Arabidopsis thaliana: one gene and its partner. The protein of the gene in region 1 interacts with the protein of each later gene in a pairwise test. Each region holds a gene or a part of one and is shown on either strand. Other genes may lie near its edges. The genes, in order: GATA26 and AT2G42660.

The links.
Region 2: the proteins of GATA26 (region 1) and AT2G42660 interact in a two-hybrid assay, tested with the Arabidopsis thaliana proteins (one large-scale study listed by BioGRID).

Annotation. Positions count from the first base shown.
Region 1 is NC_003075.7:9,780,235-9,792,875, reverse strand, and holds GATA26 (GATA transcription factor 26), read left to right. Parts: upstream 1-5,377; 5' UTR 5,378-5,713; exon of another isoform or gene 5,714-5,901; coding exon of another isoform or gene 5,902-5,941; intron 5,942-6,230; 5' UTR 6,231-6,231; coding exon 6,232-6,307; intron 6,308-6,511; coding exon 6,512-6,892; intron 6,893-6,972; coding exon 6,973-7,372; intron 7,373-7,466; coding exon 7,467-7,539; intron 7,540-7,653; coding exon 7,654-7,757; intron 7,758-7,840; coding exon 7,841-8,030; intron 8,031-8,105; coding exon 8,106-8,226; intron 8,227-8,311; coding exon 8,312-8,547; 3' UTR 8,548-8,988; downstream 8,989-12,641. Other genes in the region: AT4G17585 (aluminum activated malate transporter family protein), read left to right, coding at 178-353; AT4G17580 (Bax inhibitor-1 family protein), read left to right, coding at 1,731-1,817, 1,941-1,980, 2,068-2,212, 2,336-2,419, 2,520-2,706, 2,801-2,959, 3,046-3,087; AT4G17565 (F-box protein (DUF295)), read left to right, coding at 9,232-10,368; AT4G17560 (Ribosomal protein L19 family protein), read right to left, coding at 11,124-11,232, 11,627-11,760, 11,850-11,936, 12,104-12,421, 12,504-12,533.
Region 2 is NC_003071.7:17,762,032-17,772,617, reverse strand, and holds AT2G42660 (Homeodomain-like superfamily protein), read left to right. Parts: upstream 1-4,238; 5' UTR 4,239-4,359; coding exon 4,360-4,582; intron 4,583-4,667; coding exon 4,668-4,744; intron 4,745-4,824; coding exon 4,825-4,864; intron 4,865-4,941; coding exon 4,942-5,056; intron 5,057-5,149; coding exon 5,150-5,279; intron 5,280-5,370; coding exon 5,371-5,553; 3' UTR 5,554-5,568; downstream 5,569-10,586. Other genes in the region: AT2G42670 (2-aminoethanethiol dioxygenase, putative (DUF1637)), read left to right, coding at 1-119, 202-408, 496-614; AT2G42650 (Ribosomal protein L1p/L10e family), read right to left, coding at 5,970-7,088; AT2G42640 (Mitogen activated protein kinase kinase kinase-like protein), read left to right, coding at 8,910-8,977, 9,201-9,229, 9,326-9,684, 9,816-10,010, 10,256-10,429, 10,538-10,586.

The DNA of each region.
Region 1 (12,641 bases):
TCCCATGCCAAAAAAAAAAGTAAAAGTTTACTAAACATGGAAGCATACACATTCTTGAATCCAAAATTAGTTCACTCCTTAAGCAAAGATGCTCTTGGAAGAAGAATTGAATCAAGATCTAAAGAATCCCTAAAGTGAATTGGGAAGAGAAACAAGAGCGAAAGAGGGTACATACAGTGGAGGGCTTGACGATAAGCGAGAAAGTAATCCTTTCGATGGCAGCCCGAGGCAGAGAATCAGCTGCGGAACCACACGAGCGGAATGAGGCAGGCAATGTTTGCCACTCTATCAAGTTCCTCCCGAAGTCAATAGCACGGGCAAAGCAACATCATGTCCTTAACCAGCCATACTAGCATCACCAGCCGCTAAGACCAAACCCACATGAACCTTAACCTATTTCGACGCTTAACATGGAGCAAACACTTATCTGAAGCAGAGATCTAACATGAGACTGAGCCTTAGTGCAACAAGGAAACAATGAACTTGGACGCCAAAGCAGAAAACGAGCACGACATGCCCAAGAGATGCAAGGAGATACTAAAGGCATTAGCGATCTAAGGCAGCCCTCAATCCTTTGATCAAGTATAGCCTTAAAATCTCCATCCTAGACGAAACTCACAAGAACAGCCTGCTGAAGCAAACCTAGTCTCGGACAAGAAGCAATATAGTAAGTTATATACTATATATCTCCTTATATACATACATTTATTACAATCAACAATAAACCTACTAATTGATGTTTAATTTCATTCTAATGGTTATAGGAGCGGCTGCTACTTATATAAGATTTGTACCATACATAAAGAAGAATTACGATTACGGTGTTGTGATATTTCTCTTGACGTTCAATCTATAACGGTTTCAAGCTGTCGAGTAGATAGTGTGATAAACATAGCACACGTCACACGTACAATAGATTTTACACTATAGCTATTGGTTGCGGAATCTGTCTTTTCATGAGCCTTCTTGTTTTTCCTATTTGGTCTGGTGAAGATCTACACAAGACCACCGTCGGTAAACTCCAAGGCCTCTCTCGCTCTATAGAAGGTAATTCTCGGAAATATCATTTCTATGATTTGTTAACATTAACACCAAACTTATAATTCCAAAAATATTACTTAATTTAATCTTTTTTAATATATATATATAATTGTGTTTGTACGTATATAGAATGTGTGAATGAGTACTTTGAAGAGAAAGAGAAAGAAAAACCAGATTCAAAAACGAAATCTACGAAGGATATCAAGCTGTTTTGGATTCTAAATCAACTGATGAAACACTTGTAAGTCTCATTTTTTTATATATGATCACTATTTCAAGATTTTGTTTTTGGTAAAAGATAGAATTATATGAAATTAAAATGGAACTATTCAGGCATTATATGCAAATTGCAAATTATATGAAATTTTAAGCCATATTTCATATTTGGAGAGACGTGTTGTAAGAGTTAACATGTTGAGGGGAAAAAAAAAAAAAACAGAGTTAACATGTTATGTCGTTTCTTTCTCCGAAACAGAAACAACGTAGCGTTTTTGCACTCTACTACAAGTACAAACACACTATCAAAGAAACTAACAGTATTGATCATGGGCTCGTATTTAAAAGCCCACCACACCATGGGCTTGTTAGCAAAACAGAATTGATTTATTTGACCGTACTATAAATATGGAATTTGAAGTCTCTGCATTTGAAAATTCTCTTCTCTGAAGCATTATCAAGCAAAAGCAACAATGGAGGCGAACGGTACGATTTGGAGCCATGATTATCTCAGAAACTCTCATGAATTCTCTCCGGCCGTGCAGAATCATCTTAAGCGGGTAACGTCTTCATAATCTTCCACGAAAAGTTGTTGTTGTTTCTTGGAATGAGATTTGTGATACGATTGATTAGTGAATCATTTCGTTTCAATGCAATAGTTTGTTTCGTGATCTTGTTTTCAGTTTTGTATTGTTCTTGGTTCGCATCGTTGTGTTATTGATCGTTTGTATTTATTAGTGAAAAGAAACGCACTTCTTTGAGAGTTTTTATTGGTGTTTCTTGATTCTATATATGTTCGTTAAGTGTAAGTCTATCTCACGTTATTCTTTGCTCTTCTTGCGTCTGCGATTGGAGCTTACATTCACATGGTCTGGAATATCGGTGGAAATGTCAGTACTCTTGGATTCAGTGGAATCATGATTTGGTTGCGTTTCACTCTTTATGAACCTAACATGTGGGTTTCATTCATCACTTACACTTATTTTTCTTTGAAGATGAGTCCCTAACTCTGAATATCTTACAGTCTTGTTTAACTCAATGAACTTTATCTAATGTTTGCTTTTGATGCAGCGAAAAGGCTCTACCTTCTGTTTCTATTTGCCCTTCTTAAAGGTGCTTCAGTTGGTCCCATGATCATGCTAGTCATTGATTTTGACTCAAGGTGATTTCTATGTTCATGTCTTTAAAAAGAGACCTCTACATAAGCTTCTACGCTCTGTCAGTGTTGAATGTTTGTGTATACGGTTCCTTCTTTAAACCAGCGTCCTGGTCACTGCATTTGTGGGAACAGCAGTAGCATTTGTGTGTTTCTCCGCTGCAGCAATGTTGGCAACGCGTAGAGAGTACCTTTACCACGGAGCTTCACTTGCTTGTTGTATGTCCATCCTTTGGTGGGTACAAATTGCCTCTTCCATCTTCGGAGGCTCTACAACTGTCGTCAAGTTTGAGGTAAAAACTCTGTCTTCAAGAGGGAGAGAATTGTATGTTTGTTTTCGATAGAAGAGTACTTGCTTGTATTAACATACATTCTCATCATTTGCAGCTATACTTTGGACTCTTGATCTTTGTGGGATACATAGTGGTGGACACACAGATGATAACCGAGAAAGCACACCACGGTGATATGGACTATGTGCAACATTCTTTTACCTTTTTCACTGACTTTGCTTCTCTATTTGTTCAAATTCTCGTTCTCAACATGGTAAGTTCTTCCCTTAAACCCTTGGTGAGTTCATTGTTACCTCTAATGTCTCTCTATCTAATACAATTTCGTCTTATTTTGTGCAGTTTAGGAAGATGAAGAAAGGAAGAAAAGACCGAAGAAACTGAAACCACCAAATCAAAGTCTACATAGCTCAGAGTTTTAGTCAAATCACTCTTTTTACTTCTCTTTGACTAGTCTCTTTGCTATCATAAAAACTTCAGATTGTAAACGACTTTGTACTCTACTCTGGCTCTGGCCTTTACTGTCTAATATCAAATTTATAACAAAAATGCAAGTTAGGAGAAAGTCATAAGTGTACATGTTTCAAGAACTATTCCAATGTTTGGTCAAATCTTATGTTCTATTTGGATGGTTTAAAATGAGTAAACAATTTGATCTACAGTTTCTAGTATGAGTGAAAATTAAGATATTAGGGAAAATACTAGAGACTGTAACCACACTTTTTGTCTATGAGTCTATCTTACATTAGAAAGAAGCTAGTTGATATTTGATACTAAAATAATTTTCTGCTAATGGACATTGTTGCCATAGTAGTTGTGTTGCTGTTATTATTAGCGTATGAAAATGAAAATGGGTTTTGTAAATTGTGATTTGTAAGCACGATTGGGGCATGACTTTTTGTGTTTGACCTCTAATAGCACTCCAATTCTCATCGTCTTTTCTCAGCCGTTCGATCATACCTCCATCATTTTGCCTACACCTCTCACACCATTTCATTATTACATTACCATCGTTTCTTTTAAAAAAAGAATATATAGATCAGAGATGTGATTGGCATCTGAATTTCTGGTTACACTATTTTAAAATTTGGTAAGACTACTCTTCAATTCGGTCTCTGACACATTATTCTTCAGTTTTCGTAACTAATGCTCCATAACATTTTACCAATCACATTAGATTATATCGTTTACTTAAGAAAAAAAAATAGAACTATTTTTGTTTTCTTGTGTTTAAGATAAATTTTTTGGAGTAATGCTATCACTCGATAAGTTAACTTGGTTCGGTTTATTTACGTTGAATTGAGAATTCTTTATTGGTGCATTACACTATGTACGAAACCAAAGAAAAGAAACACAAAGAACTAAAGATCTCAATACATATACTACTAGTTAAATGCAAAAGAAAACCGAATATTATAATAAATTACACGTATAATATAATGTATGGTGTTGATATCGCATTAGTTCCCTAATCACATTCACAAATTACCAAAGAAACATAAGTAGGACCCATGTTTTGAATATCTTTAACTAAATCAAACGGTGGAGGGAGGAGTTGTGTCCATGATCGTCATGGTGGACGGTGACTTTACATACCATTTCTTTCTTTTTAACTTTGTTTTTTTTATGACACATATTTATCAATAATTTTAGTCTTTTCTTTGTTATAAGAAAAATATATATACCCCACTTAACAAAACTTATTCTACCAGCATAGTATTGTCACACATGTAAAAAAATAAGCAAAAATAACCTAATCTCTTAATCTAGTCGTTGACAAAACTTTAGTATTTGCTAAGTTATAAATAAATAAACAAGAACCCAATTATAAACCTTATTCAGCAAATCCAAAGGCATGAATAAATCTACCAATCGTTACGGTATTTAAAATACCGTATTGTACTATAGATTTATACTTTCACATTCTGTCGACACATTATTTTTTCTTGCACAACATTTTTTTTTTATTATATTTTTTTCTTGCAAAACATGAACAATATTATTGACAAAGAGTGTATGTATCTTATATAGTTTTTTTTTGATGTAGTTAATAATTTTAGAGAAAAAAAGCTTACCAGTGCTTTTTTCTTCCTCATTTTTTTTTCATAGTCATTAATATTTATAATTGTCGTTATTATATTTATTATACATGTTGGAAATATCAATAGTAAAACAAACAAAGAAAGAAAAGTCTATAGTCAACAAGAAGGATGGAAGCATTAGGCATAAGCAATAATATTCCTCCTACCCAAAATAATACTCCTATAACTTTTATATTAAATCTGATAGTCATAGATCTCATTTCTTGTTAAACTAATTTTCTAAAATGAAATCTCAAAATTTTATGAAAGGATGCTGAAACATTTACTTTCAAAAATAACAAAAGAAAACAAAATGAAATGAAAGTGGCCATTTTATGTCGACTAAAAAAGCCATTTTATATGATGTCAACAAATAAAGCCATTATATGCTGAAGTAATTTTTTATTTTTTTTTATCTAAAATGAAATTGAAAGGAGGAAAAAAAACATATTTCTTTTTTATGTAAGGAAGCTGAAACAATTAATTTCATCGTTACATAATAATAATGCAAATGAACAAAAATAAAAATAAAATAAAAAGAGAGACCATTTTATTATTATTATTATACACAAACAGTTTCTCGCTCTAAACCCTCAAAGTTGTTCTCTCTCTCTCTCTCTTCTCCTTTTTCACAGCCATTTATTAGATTCCTCTCTCACAATTAGTCTCTTCTCTTTTCTATTGGATTGTTGTATTAGACTGATAGCTCAAGGAACCCAAAAAACAAAAACCAAAAAAGATAACATAAATTATCTTCTTGAAATTGTTCTCTTTCTTGCTTTGATTTTTTCAATTTTCTTATACTGAGTTTTTGTATTTCTGTAAAATTTGCTTATAGGAGACTTTCTGGGTATCTTGGCTTCAATTTGCAGAAAACCAAAAAAAAAAAAAAACTTTTTTTCTGGGTTTTTTTCCTTAGCAGAGAAAAGGTTCTTAATAGTTTTAAGACTCTGGTTTTGTATATTCCAATTATAGCTGAATATTAAACACAATTTATAAAACTTAAATTTCTTTCCAAAAAATCTCTTCTTTTTAAGTCTATAAAAATTGCAACTTTCTTCTGAAATTATTCATTTTTGAAAAACACAAAAGAAACAAAGAGAGAGATAGAGATATTATGGGGAAGCAAGGACCTTGCTACCACTGTGGAGTTACAAGTGAGTGTCTCCAATTCCTATTTGATGATGTGAAAATCTGTATGAATATGAATATTCAACCTTTGTTTTTTTTACTTCTGGGTGAGATGCTCTCTTTTCTGGGAAAATGATTTGATTATATGCTTTTTGTGTAGCAAATTGTAATAATGATTGAAGTGATACAGCAAAGACTTCCTGGACTCAAGAATATCTATGAACATTTTGGAATTATGTTCCTTTAACTATATATATTGTTTCTGTTGAATGATCTTAAGTAACAACTGTTTGTGACTTGTGTTGTTGTTCTCAGTATGATTAGAACTAATGGATTAGGCAACAAAGACATGATCTTGGGATCTGAATTTGTGTTTATGATTCGCAATTGTTGTACAAAGAAGCTAAATTTTGTTCTGGTTGCTGCTTAAAGACTTTAAGATGTTTGGTGTTTTGAGATCATTGTTCTTCTGATTGATTTGGAGTTTGAATTTGCAGTATTAAGTCACATTTCAAGTGTTGTCTGATGTTGAACTCTTATGTTGTCTTGATTTCAAAGCTCAAATTTGTGAAATTTTGTTTCTTTCATTGAAACAGACACACCTTTGTGGAGAAATGGACCACCAGAGAAGCCGGTATTGTGCAATGCGTGTGGATCGCGTTGGAGGACAAAGGGAACACTTGTGAACTACACACCGCTTCATGCTCGTGCTGATGGTGATGAGAATGATGATCATCACAGGTTTCAAAGAATGAAGAGCATTTCTTTAGGCAATAAGAACAAAGAGATAAAGATGCTCAAGAGGAAAGCAATTCAAGAAAACATCATCATTAAAAGACCGGTCTTTGAATTCAGTTATGGTTTGAAGGCGGCTGTGATAGAGGAGGATGCTAGTAATAGATCGAGTTCCGGTTCGGCTGTATCAAACTCTGAGAGCTGTGCACAGTTTAGCAGTGCAGATGGGAGTGAGTTAACAGGTTTAGTTACTTTATTATTCTTCCGGTTGATCAACAATATGGGATTTTTAAAAGTGTCCATGTGAACTTTGTTTTTCCAGGTCCATCTCAATCTAATGCGTGGGACACAACTGTTCCTTGCAAGAGGAGGACGTGTGTGGGCCGTCCTAAGTCCTCTTCTGTTGAAAAGCTCACAAAGGACCTTTACAATATTTTACAAGAGCAGCAATCGTCATGTCTCTCAGTTTCATCAGAGGAAGATCTTCTTTTTGAGAATGAAATGTCAATGGTCTCAGTTGAGATTGGACATGGGAGTGTTCTGATGAAGAATCCCCACTCGTTTGCTCGGGAAGAGGAGTCTGAAGCCAGCTCACTCTCTTCGATTGAGAACAAGTCCTCCATCAGTGACGCATACTCACATTCCGTGAAGCGTGTTGAGATTGGAGCAGTGAGAGGTTCATATTATGGTGGACAAACAATAAAGCAAGAACAATTCAAGAGGTAAAGTATTTTTATTGTATCTTCAAGATATTCTATACATTAGCTCTCAGTTTAGTTAAGGATAATAATGGATCCTGTTTTTAATGGTTGGCAGAACCAAGTCTCAAACTGAAAGAGTGCATGTCCTGGGGAGTCATGGTTCACCACTATGTAGCATAGATTTGAAGGTAAGTTTCAAGCAACTCTCACCAAGTCTGTTCAATAAGTTAAATATTTGCATATGAAAGTCAAATTTTTAAAAATGACTCCAGGACAATGCCTAAACAATAAACTTCTTGCAGGATGTTTTCAACTTTGATGAGTTCATAGAACAATTCACAGAGGAAGAACAGAAGAAACTGATGAACTTGCTTCCTCAGATTGACTCTGATGACCTTCCTCATAGGTTCAAACCGCATTGCATTTTTTCTTAAAACAACTAAACCAGACCGTACAAAATTTATAATCTGTCATATTATGCCTTTGCAGCCTCAGAATGATGTTTGAAAGTGCTCAGTTCAAGGACAACTTCTCTTTGTTTCAGCAGCTCATTGCTGATGGTGTCTTTGATGTGTCTTCTTCCTCGGGGGCAAAACTCGAAGAAATCAGGACTTTTAAGAAGCTTGCTTTGACAGATTTTAACAAATCTCGTTTGGTGGAAAGCTATAACCTCCTCAAGGTTGGGCTTACTCTCATTGAAACACTGACATAATAATAACTTTTGGCCAGAGATTCACCGGATATGTGACTACAGGAACGCGAAAAAGGGACCGGAGATTCTGTTACTACAACTTCAAAAAGCTCAATCCCAAATGTACCTAAAAATATTGTAACCATTAAGAGGCGCTATGAAAACCAAATCCAAGTAAAGTCAGGTCAGTCTTAAGGACAATTTCAATCAGTCTTGCTGATTCTGCAATCAATCTTTGTGGTTTGTTGAGTTTCTTGTTGTGGTCACAGAGTCAAGGGGGCTAATGAGGAGCCCCAAAAGGGTGATGAAGATGAAAGCAAGCCATGAGACAGAGAACAATGTCTCATGCTTCAGACCAAGAAGCTTGGCTTCTGTGTTTGCACAAGAAGGTGGCTCTGCAGTGTTTAGCTATGAAGGTAATTGCAGTTCTGATCAAGATCTCCTTCTTCTGGACTTGCCGTCAAACGGGTCATTTCCTCAAGCAGAGCTACTTCACCAACTCTGAAAGGTCAAAGCTACAAAACCTCATTGAGCTTCTCAGAGCTTAAAGGAAGGATTCTTAAGCTCTCTATCTCTCTTCTTTGATGAGAGATATACTCTTAAGCTTTCTGAGAAAACGACCAAAATGAGGTTTCTGCTTTAGAAATTGGAATTTGCAGACATAAAAAAAGGAAGGATATTTATTTGAGTCTTGCTTGGGCTTCTCTTTGGTGGTTAAGTTTATAAAGTGGGTCTTATAATATACATACATATACATAAAGCCTCTTCTCTTACCTCTCTTTCTGTGACCCTTTTAATTTTAAACTTGAAAGTTCCATCTTTTTTGGTTTCTTATCTTTGGACTTTTTTAGTTTCTGCTTTTTTTTTTGTATAGGATGAAAAAGATACTGTAATATCATGTAAACTTCCGAAAATGCAGAAAATGGAATACATGAGTACTACTTTATCAGAATTTTGGGAGTAATGCAAAAATACCAAGAGTTGTCCAAACTAGAAAAGAATACCTCTTTTCCTTTTTCCTTTTTTGTGTATGTGAAAAGATTAATGCAAAAGACGTTGATGCGCTTGCTTTAGTATATGTATAAACACTTTTTTATTTTATCTTTATAATCAACTATCAACTTTATAATTCTACCACTTGAATTACAACAAATTTTCAGTTTTAACGTGTTTTCTTTGAAATTTAGCAATGGACCAAAGCGACAAGAACCCTAATCGGCGGCTCCGAGTGATTCCCAAGTGGTCGGAGCTTTGTCCGGACTTGTTACGAAGTATTTTCGAACAACTGAGTTTCACAAATCTCAATCGAGCAAAATTAGTTTGTAGGTCATGGAACTCTGCTTCGAGAGGCTGCGTTCCCAAACGAAATCAGATTCCGTGGATGATACTTTTCCCTCAAAAGAGCGAAAACAATAGTAGCAATAACTGTGTTTTATTCGTTCCTGATGATAACGACAAAGTTTACAAGACTCGAGATCTCGGTGTTGACTTTGCACAAAGTATTTGTCTTGCGACTTACGGTAGCTGGCTCTTGATGTTTAACCATCTTCGGAATCTCTACATTCTTAATCCATTGACGTTAGAGAGGATTGATCTACCACATTCCACCTCTATCAATCCAAATATGTGCTATCCAAACTTCAAATACTACCGATCAGCTTGTCTCTGGATAAACAACATAACCAAAGATTACCTAGTTGTTTGGCCCATCTATAACAAATGTTTTTTTACAAAGAAAGGTGATGACACATGGCGATTCGCTCCCGCTTGTCACATTCGGATGAAAGATCAAATTATCTATAATCACAAAGATCACAAGGTTTACCAGTATGCTTCCTATGGCTTTATCTATGTTTGGGATTTCTCTAGTGATATCCCTCATGTAGATAAGCATCTACCAGCTGTTAGCTTCATTTCTGGCCGTGAGATTGGTGACAAGAACAAATACTATAGGATAAGTCATCAGATGGTGATGTCATTGTCTGGAGAAGTTGTGGTGGTAAAAATAATGCACTACTACGACCTCTCAAGATGGCGTTTTCGCATCTTCGAGTTAAATCCTCTGACGCAGAGATGGGTAAAAGTCGATTCTTTAGGTGATGCGGCTATAATCTTGGACATGGGTATCACTGTTGTCGCTAAAGATATTCCAGGGATCAAGAAAAACTCCATTTATTTCAGTGGCCTCAACCACCCCTTAACGGATCCCGAATGTAGATTTGTCTATGATCTCACAACCGGCACCATGGAACCTTTGCCACAATGCGTTCTCTCCTCCATGCTCTTCTCTGATTCTCGATGGTTCTTACCTGGTTTCACCAGTTAATTGGACATGTTTCTGCTTCTTGTTCCATTTTTTTTTGTTTTTAAATTATTAATACCTTTGCTTTTACTTAGTCTTTTGATGGTTAGTTTCTTTGTATTATGCATATGTTTTAGACTTCATGACTTCAAGGTGTTACGTGTTTCAATTATCTTATTTGTTACCAGTAGTAATAGTTTGGTTAGAACTTCGATGATAGAGGTTTTGGCACACTATGATTCGAATCTCATTATGTGACCCAAAAAAAGAAAAAGAAAAACAAATCATAAGGGAATTCATCGACCACATCCTAATACAGTAATATCTATGCTGAATGATTCATAGAGATTAGGGTAATTTAATAATAAAAAGTTGGGTTCCACCTTCACAAGATCAAAATTCAAGATTCGAATAGTTGAGACGAAGTCCCAAAAGAAATAAGACGAGAACATGTCTTCTGTTTTTGTTCCTGAAGACCCTCAAGAGTCAAGACACACCAAACAACATATGCACAGAACACAGACTCATTCATACATAGTTTCTATTAAAGTATGGACTTTAGGTCATCCTAAGCCATATATCATTCATTATCAAACAAGGAACAGGTCTACATCCATCAACCGGAAGTTCAACTAATCTTAATTTACTTTCTCAGAAAATGTGCAGGGAATGACTTACAGGCTTAAAAAAAAGAAAGAAAGAAACAATTCTTACAAAAAAAGAGCACAATGCGGAAGATTACTACCTCTGGAGGTCAAACACAGCACGGTGGATGGTGTTCACTTGAAAGTGGACAGACGAGGAAGCTTGTCCCTCAGATAGTAAAGCCTTGCTCTTCTTACTTTCCTGTGACTCACCACTTTTATCTCTTTGATGTTGGGAGAGTATCTGTCAAATCAAACGATTAGGAGAATCAACACATACCAAACACTTTTCTTAATTCCCACATGGTAAGAAAATAACCGATATATCACAGGAAGTTTCTCGAGACTCGTATGTTATACAGCAGAATGAAAGATAGTAAACATGAGCAGACATGATAGTTGCCATAGTGATTCAGGCTGCCATAACTGGGAAGGTATAACAGCAACTAAAGACTTATTACAGTAAAACCTCTGCACAGAGTCTAACTATTATACAGGGACTTTATGTAAGGTAACACAAAGTATAACTCAGTATCTATGTATAAACTTGGTTTTATTGAAAAGCTCAGAACATGTGAAAAGACTCATAATCAAAGTAGGTCATACCAAATGGTCACTGGAGAGGGGAAAAAACTCACATGGGAAACACAATTTCAACACCGATACCCGCAATAATTCTCCGAATACGAATGGTAGTGTGTATGCCTGCATTTTGTCTCGACATCACTATGCCTTTGTAGATAGATAGCCTACGTTTGTTCTCAGGAACTTCCTGCCAAGCCAAACACCATATCCCACCAATAATCAAAAACATCGATTCAATCCATAACTTAAGAGGCTTCAAAAATATCAACAACTTACCAATTTGATTTCTACAATATCTCCTGTCCTGATTTCTGGAACAGGTCTCACTTTCTCTGCTACCTCAATTGCTTTCTGGTTCAGTATCTACAACAATCAACAGATAATAACATTCAATCTCCCTCAACATTGCCTATAAGATAACTATAGAAAAAGCAAGTCCCTCAACACAAATGTGTACACAGAGACTTACTGATTCCTAATTGCTAAACACTCATAATTTGGATTACTGATAAACAAAGAAGTTCACTAACCCCCATGACATCTCCGAGCTTGATCCTAGGTTTTCTTGTAGGTTTAGCTTCGACCACTTCCTCTACATTTCCTTCCGTATCAGCGATTTCAGCAACAAATTCTTCAGATTCAGCTTCTGTGTTACCTTCTTCTGCTCTAACGATAAACTCATTTCTCACCCTAGTATCGAGTGAGAACCCAAATTTCGAGCCGGGATGATTCAGAGAAAGCCTAGAAACTGATATACGAGAATCCATCGATGGTGCACACGATAGAAACGAAGAAAACCCTAAATTCTTCGATGATTGCGTAGGGTTTCTGGGTATCATATGCAATGCCTAAAAATCCCATAGAAACAAATAATCAACAATAATGAATTAAGTGAAAATAGAGATTTCATAAGCTTTCGTATATTTAAACCTGAGGAAGACGATGAAAGCTCATCGCCATAGCTGCAGCAAACTCTCAGTTACTCGGAGAAAATGGAGGGAAGACAGTGGAAAAGAGCCTTATCTGCTTTTCGCTTCCTATTTTGGCACACGTATGCCATCGCACGTG
Region 2 (10,586 bases), on another chromosome or scaffold:
ACCTCTTCATAACCATCCGGGCATGACCGTGCTAAGCAAGCTCGTTTATGGTTCAATGCATGTGAAGTCATATGATTGGCTAGAGCCTCAACTGACCGAACCAGAGGATCCATCACAAGGTAACCGTCTTCTTTCTGTTACTCTCTCAGTTTTTATCCAATCACTCTTCTGGTCTAATTGTAAACTATTTTGATTCATAAGAAGCAAGACCTGCTAAACTGGTGAAGGATACTGAGATGACGGCTCAAAGCCCAGTAACAACATTATATCCGAAAAGTGGTGGCAACATTCACTGTTTCAAAGCCATCACCCATTGTGCTATTCTTGACATCTTAGCTCCACCTTACTCTTCAGAGCATGATCGGCATTGCACTTACTTCCGGAAATCCAGAAGAGAAGACTTACCAGGTAATACAACTAAGCTCTCCAAAAACCCGATCCCAGAACCATATTAGAACCTTTAGTGATATTGATTTGGATTGTGAACTGGAGCAGGTGAATTAGAAGTGGATGGAGAAGTGGTCACAGACGTGACATGGCTTGAGGAATTTCAACCGCCTGATGACTTTGTGATACGACGAATTCCGTACAGAGGTCCTGTCATTAGAACTTGATGATGATCTAATCTTTACTTGTCACATAATTTGGGCGGCTTCGGGTTTTTATTTTTTATTTATATTCCTTTCGGAAATAATTTGGGGGGTCTTTTTATATTGCAAACGGGATTGTACATACTAATTTGTGATACACCGTGTGTCTCCGTTTCATTATATTGCAAAAGACTTCTAATGGTTTTTAGTCTTCGGTACTAGACTTCTCTAATGGTTGTGTTTACAAAATCCTTAAACCTCGTTTTGCATAGTTGTGTTTCTTCCTTCATATGGTAAGGTCACACCAGCATAGAAGTTGCCCCGATACGCCCAATTTGTAGGTTGTGCAGTTGGTAACTAAGTTGGGATTGATTTGGAAATCGGAGTAAAGTTCATGGGATGTGTGATCTTACTGTTTTTAAAAAATAAGGGAATGAAATGGCGTCGTTGGCTTTTTCTAAGTCTAACAAAGCAAAACTGAACAAAAAACAAAATCACATTCTGGCTACTACGTAAGACTAAATCCCATCTCCCTCTACCAAGCGGCTGGCTGAGTCTTTATTACGTAAGGACTTAGTGGATATTATCATAAAATTAGTGGATACACTCTATTTGCTTAGTGGATTTCAATGGAATTTCATTCCTCTCGTTTTATTTTTTGGTCAATGGATAAATTAGCTCTCCACTTTATCCATTTCGGTTTTCATGAAGAAAATCAGAATTATCAATTATTTATGATGATGAAGTTGAACAACCAAACTAATTCATAGAATCATAGTGGTTTATATGTAGTTGAAGCATGGGCTTAGGGACTAGGATCCAAAAAATTTGCATTGCGATTTCAATACTAGACGTCTTAAATGGTAAGAATATCCGATTTGTAATCTACAGGGCAAATGAGAATAGTCTAGATTTTGGTCCAGATTCTTTGGTTATAAAAAAAACAAAATGTTTAACAACGAACATTGATATGGTCCCAACCTAGACCTAGACCTAGACCCAAAGACCAGGATTATAAAGAGAATAAAGAAAGCATTTCGGGGTAATCATGGTTGAAAATTGAAATAGATGAGCCCGTTCCTTCATGAGTAAAGTTTATATAATCGTGGAAATTTTTAACATGCTGATTGAGGTGTGATACCCTTTGATCCCAACCGCTTTGAACGCAAGTACGCAACCACGAACAAAAGTAAGCATGGAAACAACTTAGAAAAGATCAAGAGAAACCATTACTATGTTACGTTATTAATTTGTTAATTGTTACTCTTCATTATAATGCATTTTTCTTATGAGTGTATAAATAAAACTTTTGAGAAAAGAAGATCGAAGCTAATAATCATGGTCCTAAAGATACGTAGGCATGTGATGAGGAAGAATTCAAAGACGGTGCCTCATTTTGCGGCGATTCTTTAGGGCAACATGCAGAATTTTTTAGCTTCTTGCATGCATAATAAATAAATATATCAACTGGATCAACGTCCTTTTTACATTTAAAAATGGTTTTGTGCATATAAAACGTCCTTTAGGGAAACAGTTGTTATATTTTTTGTCAAAAAATAAATGGTTTGTACATATAAAACGTATCTAGTAAACATTCACAAAAAAAAAAATCCTCTGAAATGGTAAAATATAAAAGAATTTTCTTGGAAGAAGTAGAACTCGACAAAAGATTCTCTTAACCAAAGAAATTCATGTCGTTTAAAGAAATTCAAGAACTATTGAAACAATTTGAAATTATATATTCCATAAAAAGAGAGCATGGGAAATGGAGGAATTGTGAATGAAGTGTCGGTACGTAAACAGGTTAGGACAAAACAAAGTTTCCTCATCTTTCTTAGTGCCCACATGAGCCTCTACGATTCCTTCTCTCCCATCAATGCTCTCTTCAATCTTAGTTAATTACTTCGAATGTTTGTCCTATCTTCTCTTCTCTCTCATCTCCTATCTTTCTTTCTCTCTCTATCTGTCCATAACCCTAGATTTGAAGATCGAGGGCGATCATGGTAAAAGACTTCATAGAAATTCTATAACATTCAAGCTGTGTTTATATGAATACGAGCGTTGAAATTTGATCCCATCGCGTTTTCATATATGTTCCAAAATGCTTGTATAGATATGTGTGTGCATAGACATAGAGTGTCGGAAATTTGCATCGGGACGATTTATAATTAATTTGGTGTAGGGTTTGAGGTCCTTATTAATTTCACATAAAACTTGGTTCAATTTTGTAAAAAGTGTTTGTACTTATTTTTCTTGATTTGAAACTTATTTTGAGAATTTATGATTAACGACAGCTTATCTATGTTTACAAATACTAATTCAACTCACAAGATGACAATAAAGACAAAGATTGCACTCTAGAAAGAAAGTTGCTTTGCCTAATTTGAACAATTAAAAAATTGCATTCAAAGATAATATACCCGTAATTATTTATTAGTTACCTCTCTCGAATTATATACTGATTGGTAAGTTGGTAAGCCCTACAAAAACATATAGTTAGCCAATTCTCGAAGAGAAACCAAATACTAATATATGGAGGTGTGTAACCCAATGCCCATTGAAAAGGGTCACCAATAATAAAACCAAAAAGATAAAGACAACTTCTGTTTTGTACATACGTGAACTCAAGAATCTTTGGGAATCACATCCTTAACCATTTGACAAAACTCCCTTCTCTCTTAAGTTTTTATTTAAATTCTGTTTTCAAACGTTGGGATTGAAGACCGTCATGTATTTAACCTAAGTATATGAGAAACATGAATATAGATCAATAGCCATCATGATAAAACCAAATGCGTAGAAACGTAATTCATTCCACCACATAGTAATCGGTTGAGAGGTAGACAATAGTTTGTACCTTTTGTCTATCAGGGTTCGAATCAATCGGCTTAGATCGATAGTTCTCATGTTCCGTTTGAGTTCCCCAATGCTAATCTGATTTTTATTTTTTTAAGTTGTTTTGGAGACACTCAAAAACGTGGTTTAATATGACAAAAGGGTAAAGCGTAGTCTCCGGCAAAGGTCAACTTAATTGGAAATTATTAAAGAGAAAATTGTTAGAAAAACAAGAGTGGTTTGGTCGGATTGAAATGTTTGATACATCATTCACAAAACAACAATTCTAATGACACAAAATATTCGACTGCCAATTGTGTATACATATAGACTGGACTATTTGAACCAATATGCTTGATATCAAATATATGATTAATTAACCAATTTAAATAGCCTAGCCATTGTCACATGATATATATCAAAGGCACGTTAGGTAAACAGAAGATGTTTTAAGAAATGGTATAGTTTTTGGAATCTGAATTCATATTCAAATTCACCATATTTAAATCTTGTTTAAAGAAAGATATTATTTTTAAGAAGTAAAGGAGATAAGTTTACATGTCATTGTCACTAAAAGAACAAACGGATATTTTTCTGGTATGTTAACAAAAATGAAGCAAAACCTAATAACTAATGTGATTTCACCAAACGGAAGATTCCAACACACTTTTCCATTAAAAAAAAACATACAATTATACGTAAACATGCATGACATAGATAAGAATTTTATATATCTATATAATTATATACTATAGTTTACGACAAATAAGACTATATTATATACTTATAAGTGTATATATATGATTATAGCTAGTATTATTGAAGCCAACGCCGAAATTATCATAGAGATTTAACCTCTCTCATGGGTTTTTTTTTGTTTGTTTTTGAGTAATTGATCTCGAGAGCTAGCTAAAGACACTCTCGCCGGAGAGACATGGCCGGGAGATCTTCGCCGGGAAAATGCTCCACGTGGCTTGACCTGAACAGAGAAGAAACAGTGGAGAAGAACAATGAAGAAGAGTCATCAGTGGAAGACGAAGACCAAATCACGAATAACGTTAGACAGTATATTCGGTCCAACATGCCTCGGCTTCGTTGGACGCCTGATCTTCATCTCTCCTTCGTTCGTGCTGTCCAACGACTAGGCGGTCCAGACAGTAGGATTCTTGTTCTCTCTCTCCACGTCTCTTTCTCTCTTTCTCTCTCTCAGCTTTGTAATGTAATTGTTGTATGATTTTAAAGGAGCGACGCCGAAATTGGTTCTTGAGATGATGAATCTAAAAGGATTGAGTATTGCACATGTCAAGAGTCATTTACAGGTAATCTTCATCGTCTGTTATTCTAAGATTATCTCAGTTTTGTTCATCTTTTTCAATGTTTTCATGTTTCTGATTTCAAGATGTATCGAAGTAAGAAGCTCGAGCCGTCTTCTCGCCCTGGTAAGTTAGTTTTGATCCGCAGACATTTACCATTCCTTCACTGGGTTTCATAATTGATGGAAATGACTTTTGAACAGGATTTGGAGCTTTCATGAGTGGACAAAGAAGCTATTTGATGGACATGATCGACTCTCGATGTATCCCTCATAGCGATTTAAGACATGCCTATAACTCTAAAACCGTTCCTTCGAGGTCATACAAAGAAACAAGTTCCAGTTACTAAAATGTTTCACATTTGTATATCCGATCCGACCAAGGAAGTTAAAATTGCATTCTTTTCTGTAGGGTACTCAATCAAGACGCGGTCGTTACAAATCTTGGAGGTAACTTTCTTATGCGACCTTCGAGCTGGTTTAGCGGGTTATGCAGAAATGACCGAGACAGCACAGAGAACAAGACTCTGCCTCTACTCGAGGTAACTACCTACTTTCGTTTTAAGAGTTATAGAGGAACAGTTTTGTTAAAAACCGAGGAAGGTACTGTAATCTTGGTGAAATCTTATGCAGATTAGGAAGAAGAACAATGAGAAAAGAGTCCGAGATGAAGAAGTATCATCAGTCAAACGATTGAAATCAATGTCCGGAGGTGGGATACAGTTGCCTGAGTTTGGAAATTGCAGGCAAAAACCAACAGATGATATCAACACAATGCTCTCGCTCTCTCTGTTGTCGACATCATCAGAACCGTAACCAACATACTAGAGAGATGAAGTTTAACTTTAAAAGAGATTCAAGAGTAGAGACTTTTGTTTTCCTTAGCCGTTTCATGGGATGAGTACTTAGCCAGGATCTGGATCAGGCTTGAGTCAGATCCTGCAAGTACTTATCCTTAGCGGTTTCTCTGCATTCAATACAACACCAATTCTGGAATGCAACAAAACACATGTAATAATATGTTTCCTCGTCAAAACCACCAAATCAACTACATGGCAAGTCACTAGTTTGATGAAATAGTAAACGATAATAAAAGTCCTAAATATATAAGAATCATGATGATGATACCATAATAAGACAAAGTCATAATCAGTATCCAAAAAAATCACTCAAGCAGAAAGAATAGAATACTTAGTTATAACGACATTAATATAAAATCTTCTTTTCTTGGTTCACCTCCTCTTAGTCTTAGCTTTGAATCCACCACCAGACTCATCAATGTCCTTCTTTAGCTTTTTCGACTTTTGCCCATTCTTACTCTTCACAATGTCTGGTTTCCCACTCACTGCAGACTTACTACTACTCATCTTCTTCCTCTTCTTCTTATCTCCAGAAGCATTGAGATCATCAGCAACCTCATCTTCTCCAACACTCCTATCGAATTCATCATCACCAAGAGTCTCAGATACATTACTATCCATATATCTAACCTCATGAATCTTTCCATTCTTCTTCTTTGTCTTCACACTCTTACTACTACTATCATCAACATCACTTTTAGCTAATCCTTCACCATTCTTAACTTCTTCAACACCTAAAGGATCAATCTTGAGCTGCAAATAAGGCACTGTCTGATATAATGGCAAAGATAAACTCTCAGATAACTTCAAATGCAAAGATCTTATGTATTTCCACCTACTAGGCAAAACATCAACAACACCATTCAAAGTCGCCGTCACATTCTCAACGATATCATCGCTTTCCATGGACAATTTCGCAACTTTGATCGCACTACAAGACCCAGTCCTCATGAAGAACATAGCAGCACCACAAGCTTTCTCAATCTGCTCTTTCCAATTCATATGCTTCAAATCAATAGCCACAGGAGTCTTCTTGCTCTGAAAGAACTTCTTCCCAATCAATTTTGGCAACATAGGAATCACTCTCCGATCTGAGAAAAACATATCGTATGAATCACAAAGCTTCCGTTTCGATTCGAATGATCCATAATCCGATTTCAGCTTCGAAAGCTTAACAACTTTCGTGATTGGTATGTTCTCTGATTTGATATTCTTCTTCGCATCTTCCTCGGTGAGACCACTTTCAGGTCTGTCGTCGATGATGAGACAGAGCTCCGGTGAGTCTTCGGTAGTGTTAATTAGCGGATGCGGGAGAGGAATACGATAAGCGTTCGTAAAATTCCTCTGTGGAATCTTCTTTAGGGCTACGACTAGGTAAAAGAATCCGTCTTCTTCTAGAAGCTGTGGCTTCTCCGTCCTTGATTTTTCGTTTCCCTCTTTGACCAGAGCCTTAACTGCATCGTCCACAGTCTTGGGACTTACTCTTGACATAAGTGGTGGCGGCGGTTGCGGCTGAGCTGCGGTGGTCGGAGGAAAAGAAAAGTTATTTAGGGTTCTGTGAAGGAAGATTCAGGGTTTACGGAGGACGATGACTTTTAAACGAGTTTGTTTTGGGTTTCTTAAGGCCCATAATATTGGTTAATGGGCTTAATTATATTGTTTTCATAAATTGTCCTCAAGTTTTTGCATCGGAGAAATCTTTTCTATTAAACGAGTTTGTTTTGCGTTTCTTAAGGCCCATAATATTAGTTAATGGGCTTAACTATGTTGTTTTATAAATTGTCCTCAAGTTTTGCATAGGAGAAATGTTTTGAAGATTTTTTTTTTGTGTGGTAAGAGAAACTTTTAGAAGATGGTAATTGGTAAGATTTAAGATATAGGAAATTATGACAAACTAGCTTATTTTATCAATACATGAAATCTTTTTTATTTCATGTTAATGTAGATATAGATATAAATTTAAAATATGAAATTAATTATATAAAATATGAGTCATGTAGTACTTGGCTGTCATTTACCATACTTGTCTAAAACGTACTTACCAAATATATTTGATGCTAATTTTTATATACAAAGAAATAAAGTATATACACCTGGACAATATAATTATTAATAAAATTGTTTTCTTTATTTTCAAGTTTTTATTCCCTTCGCAAAATGTCTAATTCCTCTTATAGCTCTTCAAACTTTAAAAATAAATATTTCTTTAAGAAAAAAGTGAGAATCACATTAATTGAAAATGTCAATATTTAGATAACCAAAACAAAATTCTCAAACACTTTTCTTTATGTAAGTACTATATAAATGGAGGGATTTCTTTATAAACCAAAATGTGTGATATCTTATTGAGTTCATTGAGAGAATACATGAAATGATAGAAATGTCAGGTTTTTGACAAACAAAGAAATAGCCGCACTGCCAAACACTTTGATGATCTGTTGTTGTTGACGTGTAAGTATCATAATCAACATCAATATTGAAGTAGGATGAATTCTCTTGAGTCATTCTTATTGCAATCTTTTTCGAAGATTGAATACATTCGTTGATTTTCTATTATACTCTTTTCAAAAAAAGTTCATCCTCATTTTTCATCAAACTCTTGTTAGATTCTTGTTCATTTACATCATCCTCTTTTAAGAAATCTATCTCATATGCATGAACAATCTGATAATATATTGTCATTCATAGTGTAATGACTATCAAATATGTATCTTGTTTCGAAGATCTTTGAGATAGAAATGGATGACAAAAACAATCCATGTAGGTAGAGGACAAAATTGTACTTATGAAATATATCCTGTGAATAAGTGCTTCTCGGCACGTGACTCATAATCCCTCGCACGTGACTTGCTTCGTCACTTTCGTAAAACCCCTTGACTGTGTTTTTGCTTCTTCCGCCATCAAAATCAAAACTTTCAAAACCTCCAAAATCCAATTTTTATCTCATGAATCTCTGTTGCAAATCTCTATGCATATACGTACACATACTCTATATGTGTGTACGTTTAGCTCTTTGTTGCTTGATCATGGCAATCTTCAGATCTCTCTTCTGTCTTTCTCTTGTTTCGCAGTGCGATTTAAGCAGATTGATTGCTGGATTTTGGAATTGGAAGGACGTTTATCTGCTTTCTGTGAGTTTTTTCATAAACCCTTATTCTTCTTTTGCTCTTTAGCCTTTTCTTATATGATTTTAGACCGTTTGGTTTATGGGTTCTTGTGTGTTTGAATCCATCGAAGTTGGTGGGATTTTATTTTGAAATGGGTTTTGAAATCTATGCAGGAATTTGAAATTTTGCAACCGAGGACTTGAAAATGGGAGCTAAGTGTTGCAGAGGTCACCGAGGATCAGTGGTGGAATCAAATGGTTCCGTGATCTTGTCGTAAGTTCTGAGGCTGAATTATTGAAGTGAATCTCTTCTATAAGTATCGAAAAGTCCAACACTTTGAATAAGTTTTGTAGCCAGTCTTTGAGAATTGTCTACTAGTTAAATGCTTTGATAAGGAATATATGGAATGCAACTTAGTATGTCACTGAAACATTTATTTCTGCAACAGTATATCCGAGTCTATATTTACTTAACCATTCTGCTTTTGCCTATGTAGGTTAGCTGACCTAGAGGTCCAAGCTACTGGTAAGCGAAGTTTGATTCTTAATATTTTGGTACCTACGTTATTCGTCTTTTCTTGAGTGAAACCTATGGGCTAAGGAGACACTCTTGTGATTTTAGACCTTAGGGAGATGACTGTGGTAGAGGCAAGAGATGCTGCTGGACCATCAGAACCAAGACCTCCAAGTCCTACCTTGAGGCCTTCAGAAGTTGAGGAGACATCCGAGCCTGTATGTCAGGGATCACTAGTAGAAACCTCTAATACTGATGATGCTGGACCATCAGAACCAAATCCACCAAGTCCTACCTTGAGGCCTTCAGAAGTTGAGAAGATATACGTGCCTGTATGTCAGGGATCACTAGCAGAAACCTCTAATCTTGATCAAGATGGGGTGTCAAGTTATGAAGCATCGAATATTTTTTGGAGTACTGGGTCCTTATCAGACCCGATCCCAAGTGGTTTTTACACTGTGATCCCGGTAAGCTATCTTTAGGTTGGTATTATCTTTGTCCAATAATATTTCAGTTAGCTTTATTAATGCTTGGTTACGTGCTGCTGTTTGTCAACAATCATTTTCTTATCTTATTATGTTGTTGAATTTTTCAACAGGTTGAGAGATTGATGCATTTTAAAAGCATTCCTACATTGGAAGAAATTAATGCGCTGGGGGAAGATCGTCTTAAGGCTGATGCGATTTTTGTAGATCTTAAGAACGATATACAGCTTGTTTTGATAAAGGAGTTTGTCATCAAACTTGTCACAGGATTGGACTCCGATAAAGTTATTAAGAAAATTGCTGGACTGGTAAGAATGGGCGAGCATCTTTTTATCATCTCATTTTCTAGTGAACTAACTTTGGCGACAATGCATGTCATTTTGTTACTTTATCTTATCGCTGCATGCAATAAATATTTGGTTCTGAATAAGAAAACAAATAACTGTAATCCCATTTATTAGACTCTTAAGGCACATCACATTATTTCAGCAACCTCATTATATTCTTTTAGATTATCGGGAAATCTGAATTGGATTTTTCCTTCTTATGGCAGGTGGCAAATATATATAAAAGAAAAACTCTGCAGAGTCCGGCAAGAACGCTGCAATATTTTGACGTTCAAGGGTTTACCCTGCTAGGACAAATCAAGCATGGTTCTTGTCGTGCACGAGCAATCCTCTTTAAAGTTCTAGCTGATGCTGTTGGTCTTGACAGTAAGCTTGTAATGGTATGTACTGTATAAAAACGTGATCAGTGGCTTTGGTTATAACTCCAATTTCCTCATGTCATTGATTGGTTCTGATAACTTGGCATTTCGGTTAAATTTCTTGATCAGGGTTTCCCTACTGATCTGAGATTTTCTGCTAGCATCGACTCATATAATC